2 linked regions of the Arabidopsis thaliana genome follow. The protein of the gene in region 1 purifies or fractionates together with the protein of each later gene. This does not show direct contact. Each region holds a gene or a part of one and is shown in the gene's direction. Other genes may lie near its edges.

Region 1 (3,813 bases):
AGTTACCTTTTAAATGTAACTAAATTACATGAGTTACAATTCTAATTTGTTTGAATGACAATGAGTGAAGAAGAATATAATTAATACACAATTAGTATGATAGTTACAATTTAGTATTCAATGGTTGATTAATAAATGTGAATAAATTTATTGTTTTTGTGGGTTAATTGGAGATAAATATTATTCTATTTTTATTTTTGAAAAATTGGTTGTTAAAAATGAGACCTTATTTTTATATATACATGATTAAACTATTTTGAACTTGAATCCATTTGTTTTGGATTTACTCACTTTTCCAATGTTACTTATAGTTTCGCCAGTGGAATATAAGGTTAGAAAATATGAGAGTAAAAATCAGGAATTAGGACATGTAAAATCCAGAAATATCTGAGGACGGATCTCACGATTGATTATAAGATTCGCATTACATTTTCTCTTCATTTTTTTCAGATAAGAAAATTGGATTCTATCAATTTGTCGTCCTATTGTTCTTTTCTTGTTTGATATACAAATACGAGTCACTGATTTTTTTTAGTTGATTGGTAGAGTCTTAAAGGAAACATCAAATTCAGACAGTCCTTTTACAACCATTTCATCCATGTCGGCTCATTATTTCGCACCACAGAAGAATAACCCAAAATTATTAGAAAACTTGGACCACTATAAGCACTTGAACTGTGGTCGTGCACTGACTAATGTGAGCCCGTTTTGGTAATTCTCAGCTGTGTGCGTAATTGATGTCGGCGTCACCTTCAGAAACTTCGAAATTATGTGTGATACACCGTGTTTCATAAATTCATACACGTCATTTTAGATACAAAATTAGATATTTTCATTTGATAAAACCGAAAGAAATAATAAACTTTTTCTTTCTTGTTCTCATTTTAAGTCTCTCTTTATATCACTTTCTATATATATTGAATCATGCAAGGAATACACATAAAATACTTGTGTTCTTGTACTTGTTTGGTGACTCAAGCAAGACTCCCAAGCTATGGCGGAGAAGGTACTTTACCAAGATCTGAATTTTCATATTACTTCTCTTTTATTGATCATATCCATAATTACCCTCTAATAGAGTTACTAATTAAGGTAATAATGATCATGAAATTATATGATATGCACAAACAGGTAGTGATGATGAAATTGAAAGTGGATCTAAACTGTTCCAAATGCTACAAAAAGGTCAAGAAAGCTATCCGCAAATTCCCTCGTGAGTTTCTTTCTTTAATTTGAGTTTCTTTGTTCATTTGAATTATTGCGGGTTGAGAAGATTCTGAATCTTGATAAATGGATACGATTTTGTGGTATGTGTTGTTTTGCAAAAAAAAATAGAAATAACAGACGAATTGTTTGATGAGAAGTCCAACACGATCATCATCAAAGTAGTTTGTTACGATCCTGAGAGGCTAATGAACAAACTTTGCTACAAAGGAGACGGTTCTATCAAGTCCATCGTGATCCTTGAGCCACCCAAACCGCCTCAACCCCAGCCTCAACCACCTCAGAAGCCTACTGCCCCAGCCCCAGCCCCAGCCCAAGCCCAAGCCCCAGCTCTTGTTCGGCCGGCTCCGGTTCCTGTTCTTGTTTCGTCTTCCGCTCCTCAACCGATGCCGATGTGGCAGCCGTATCATTGTGGGCCGTATTACGAGGCCCAACAGTACCAATGTTATGGAAGGCCCGTTTACGAGAGCTGGGGAGGTGGACGACAATGTTGCCACGAAGATATGAACTCTCAAGGATGCTCCATCATGTGAAACACTGAACCAAGTCTCCTCCTACTCATATATAGACTATAGTATATACCAGCAAATAAATAACTACACGAAGTTATTTTTAATTGTCTTCGTCTTACCAGTATTTCTATTTCGAGTCCTCGTTTATGTATGTAAACACTACAGGGTTTTGTTTCTTGTGTATATCACGTTTTGGTTCTAATACAACTTTTATTTGCTCTTCTTTTCTTGGTAGTAAAATACAAATAGTAAGATTTTTCGCATAAAAATATAGTTTCTGTTAGAAAATAAAAGTATATTAGCACGAAAGAATGGAAACTAAAAACTCTGAGACCGGCCTCTCCAATGAGTGACATGAGTCGATGAATACTCAACTATTATGTTTTTACAGTTTACTTATCCACAGATGACACTGTTTCTTTCTACTGTGAAAAGAGCAGCCGTGGTGCTTACACCTCCACACGACACCGTTTAAACGGAAACTAAAAACGACGTGACGTTCTTGTCTGAAACACTTAAACGACGCTATAGTGTACTGTAACTCCAGAGAAGGCCTTATCTTTCTCCAATTCTCAAAACCCTCTTTAACACTCTTCCTCTAAGCTTTTTAAATCAATGGCTTCCACTTCCACACTTCTTCTTCCATCTCTCTCCTCTAAGAATCTTCACATCGCAGTCCCAATAAGAACCAATAGCTTCGTTCGTCGAACAACAAAGTTCTCAACAAAATGTTCGTCGAATCCAGAGTCAAAGGATCAATTCATCAATCTCACACCAGCACCTGAATCAATCAACACAACAAGCGCAGAGAAATTCCCAATAGAGAAACGAAGAAGATCAGAGATCATACGAGACAGAACACAAAGAGGAATCGAGAAACCAGAGCCACCAAACTTCGAAATCGGTTGGAAAAGAACAAAAGAGATAAACTTGGAGAAACCTAAAGGTTATGTAATAATGGATTTCTTAGAAAAGTTCGAAGCTTTAATGGCGAGAGAGTTTGGATCAAAGGAGCTTTTAGCTAAAGCTGGTGAGATTGTTGCAGAGAGAGCTAGAGAAGAAGCTGAGGTTTTGAGAGATGAAGGTAAAGTTGAAGAGAGAATGGTTACAGAGCTTTTTAGGGTTTTGAAATTGATGGAGATGGATTTAGCTATGGTTAAAGCTTCTGTTAAAGATGAAACTTTGAGTCAGAGGATTGAACAAGCTAGAGCTCGGTGTCGACAAGCTATTCTTGTTGCTAATTCTTTCTAATTCCTTCTTCTTCTACTTGCAAATTGAGTCAAAAGTCTATGAATTTTGTTTATAGTTTTACACAAAACAGAGCTTCTTCATCTGTAAAAGATCTTATTTTTTTGGTTCTGTAATCATCTCTGGATCATTCATCTGTTACTTTAATGGTAGAAGAAGGATTGAAGATGAGAGTCTCATGTGAAGAATCAAAACAAAGATTCATGCTTTTGGTTTTGCAATTTGTGAGGAAGCTTAAGGGTTTTTGGGAGGAAAAAACTTAATTAGTTGAGAAAATTTTACTTCCACTAGTTTCATATTTCAAGATATTTCACCAAGACTCAAGCTTTATTGTACACCACACATTAAAAATGCAAAGTTTAATCATTTTAACAAAAGCTTCACAAGCAGCAGTAGACAGCAACAATGGTGGCAGTCAGATTCTACGCTGTAGAGATGTCGCTACCATGTTTATGTCCATGCCCATCATCGCCGATTTCTCTTTCATTGTGTTCTCCGAGATTCAATCTTCTTAACACAACAAGCAGGAGACTAGGTTTGTCTAGAAACTGTAGAACTCTGCGAATCAGTTGTTCATCTTCATCTACTGTCACTGACCAAACTCAACAATCGTCTTTTAATGATGCTGAGTTGAAACTCATTGACGCTTTGATCGGAATTCAAGGCCGTGGCAAATCTGCTTCTCCTAAACAGCTCAATGTGTGTAAAAACTTTAAACTTTCTTTAATTTTCCGTCGTGTTTATGATTTGAGAGATTCTCTGTTGTAGGATGTTGAATCTGCTGTGAAAGTTCTTGAAGGTTTAGAAGGCATTCAAAATCCTGTATGAA
Region 2 (3,074 bases), on another chromosome or scaffold:
CCGTTGGGAATTCTTCAAGCTCTAGCCGATGGGACAAAACTACTTTTCAAAGAAAATCTTCGTCCATCTAGAGGAAATACTCCTTTATTTAGTATTGGACCATCTATAGCAGTTATCTCTATTTTACTAAGTTATTCAGTAATTCCCTTTAGCAATCACCTTGTTTTAGCGGATCTCAATATCGGTATTTTTTTATGGATTGCCATCTCAAGTATTGCTCCTATTGGACTTCTTATGTCAGGATATGGATCAAATAATAAATATTCTTTTTTAGGTGGTCTGCGAGCTGCTGCCCAATCGATTAGTTATGAAATACCATTAACTCTATGTGTTTTATCAATATCTCTACGTGCGATTCGTTGAAACAGAAACGTTTATTTTTACTATTCCGTTTCTTCTAGACGAATCAGTTAAAAAACGGAATATATATTTATCTTTCGAATTAATCGAAATAATTAATAAAAGGAATTTGATAGTTATATATGAGTGAAAAAAAAACTGCTCTGAAATTTGCAGTAAAACGAAAAATGAGTCTCATTTCCTATGTACAAAGGTTAAACGGAAATAAACATAAGTGTAAGAATCACTTTACCCCAAGGTTGGTTGATTAGTCATCCTGACTTGAAGCGGGTTAAATATATTAACCGGTAACCGGATGACGTTTTCACTATCAGTTATATAGATTAACATACATGTATTACAAAGTGAGCGGCAATTAGGTAAAAGTGAGTGGATGGTTAGAAACACCAAAATACACAAAGAATTTGTAATAGAGATTAACCAAATTGAAAAGGATATTTAGGCCTAACATAAGATAAAAAAAAGAAGGTTAATTGGGGCTTTAAATTAGTAGAAATGATCAGACAGTACTCCCCAAGATTCCGATTCAGAGTATGCTCCTATCCACCGACAAATGTAATGACTATCAGAAACGAAATAATCCTTTATTTTTTATAAGTCTACCAACTTTTTTCTAAAAAAGAAAGAAGAATAGGAACGAAACAAGGCTCTTTTTTTTTTCATATATTTCGAAAATAAAATCGAATTTCTGTCATGAATAATAAAAAAATAGGATGTCTAATTATTTTTCGTAATCGAAAACCACGATGGGCTTAAATACTTTTTTTTTTTAGGAGTTTTTTATTAAAGGGTTAAGTTATTACTCAACAAATAGAAATTCAAATTTGTAAAGGGGTGAGATGAATTCCGAAGCGCGTTTTTTATTCTTAGAATTTGAGCAGACAGAATTCCATTGGTATAATTCGGGACCCCAGATATATTTAATCCATTTTAGAACACATCATATCCATCTAAATTATAATCTGGTCCTTAGATTTATTTATGGCCCCCGAGGAGCCGTATGAGGCCAAGACCTCATGTACGGTTCTGAAATAGCGGTGAAAATAGTAATGTTCTCGCCGACTAGGATTATCTAACAGTTTAAGTACAGTTGATATAGTTGAGGCACAATCAAAATATGGTTTTTGGGGATGGAATTTGTGGCGTCAACCTATAGGTTTTATCATTTTTCTAATTTCTTCCCTAGCAGAATGCGAGAGGTTACCGTTTGATTTACCAGAAGCGGAAGAAGAATTAATAGCAGGTTATCAAACTGAATATTCAGGTATAAAATTTGGTTTATTTTACGTTGCTTCTTATCTAAATCTATTAATTTCCTCATTATTTGTAACAGTTCTATACTTAGGCGGTTGGAATATTTCTATTCCGTATATATCTATTCTGGAGCTATTTCAAAGGGATCAAATTTTTGGAACAACAATTGGTATCTTTATTACATTAGCTAAAACTTATTTGTTTTTGTTCGTTTCTATCGCAACAAGATGGACTTTACCTAGGCTAAGAATGGATCAACTATTAAATCTTGGATGGAAATTTCTTTTACCTATTTCCCTTGGTAATCTATTATTAACCACTTCTTTCCAACTCTTTTCACTCTAAATTTAAAATGAATCTAATATATTCATTATTTGTTTTAAACAAGAGACAGAAACAAAGATAAAATTATTCAGAGATAATTACAATATGCTTCCTATGATAACCGGGTTCATGAATTATGGTCAACAAACCCTACGAGCTGCAAGGTATATTGGTCAAGGTTTCATGATTACCTTATCCCACACAAATCGTTTACCTGTAACTATTCAATATCCCTATGAAAAATTAATAACATCGGAACGTTTCCGCGGTCGAATCCATTTTGAATTTGATAAATGCATTGCTTGTGAAGTATGTGTTCGAGTATGTCCTATAGATTTGCCTGTTGTTGATTGGAAATTGGAAACTAATATTCGAAAAAAACGATTGCTTAATTACAGTATTGATTTTGGAATTTGTATATTTTGTGGTAATTGTGTTGAGTATTGTCCAACAAATTGTTTGTCAATGACTGAAGAATATGAATTTTCCACTTATGATCGTCACGAATTGAATTATAATCAAATAGCTTTGGGTCGTTTACCAATGTCAGTAATTGACGATTACACTATTCGAACAATTTGGAATTCACCTCAAACAAAAAATGGGGTAAACCCTTTAATTTGATTAAAAAAAGAATTCCAAGTTGTTGAATTATATTTATATAAAGAATTTAATTAAAAACTTGTATTGTATTTATATAATAATAATAATATTAAGTATTAAGGCACATTCTTTTAATATAATATATTCGTAATTACTTTCTTGAAATTGATAGGTTGAAAATACACTTTAGAAAAAAAAAAAGAGAAAACAGCCTAATACTAATAATTGTATCTACATCAATTCATATCCATTAGATTCTAATTTCACTCTATTTAGAAACATATAAAAAACAAATTTCCTGGTTAAATTAATAAGGTCATGAAAAGGATTTCGATTTTTTCTTATTTTAATAATATAATGGATTTGCCTGGACCAATACATGATTTTCTTTTAGTTTTTCTGGGATCCGGTCTTCTAGTAGGGGGTCTGGGAGTGGTATTACTTCCCAACCCAATATTTTCAGCCTTTTCCTTAGGATTTGTTCTTGTTTGTATATCTTTATTGTATATTCTATCAAATTCCCATTTTGTAGC

What was found.
Region 2: the proteins of CRR41 (region 1) and ndhI purify together in Arabidopsis thaliana (affinity purification with mass spectrometry, with the first as the bait; one study listed by BioGRID). This does not show direct contact.

The regions. Positions count from the first base shown.
Region 1 is NC_003070.9:18,931,991-18,935,803, forward strand, and holds CRR41 (potassium/sodium hyperpolarization-activated cyclic nucleotide-gated channel protein), read left to right. Parts: upstream 1-2,308; 5' UTR 2,309-2,351; coding exon 2,352-2,987; 3' UTR 2,988-3,309; downstream 3,310-3,813. Other genes in the region: AT1G51090 (Heavy metal transport/detoxification superfamily protein), read left to right, coding at 995-1,006, 1,132-1,213, 1,336-1,757; AT1G51110 (Plastid-lipid associated protein PAP / fibrillin family protein), read left to right, coding at 3,390-3,683, 3,753-3,806. UniProt on the Arabidopsis thaliana protein: Required for both formation and activity of the chloroplast NAD(P)H dehydrogenase (NDH) complex of the photosynthetic electron transport chain.
Region 2 is NC_000932.1:118,732-121,805, reverse strand, and holds ndhI (NADH dehydrogenase subunit I), read left to right. Parts: upstream 1-2,043; coding exon 2,044-2,562; downstream 2,563-3,074. Other genes in the region: ndhA (NADH dehydrogenase subunit 1), read left to right, coding at 1-349, 1,430-1,959; ndhG (NADH dehydrogenase subunit 6), read left to right, coding at 2,899-3,074. UniProt on the Arabidopsis thaliana protein: NDH shuttles electrons from NAD(P)H:plastoquinone, via FMN and iron-sulfur (Fe-S) centers, to quinones in the photosynthetic chain and possibly in a chloroplast respiratory chain.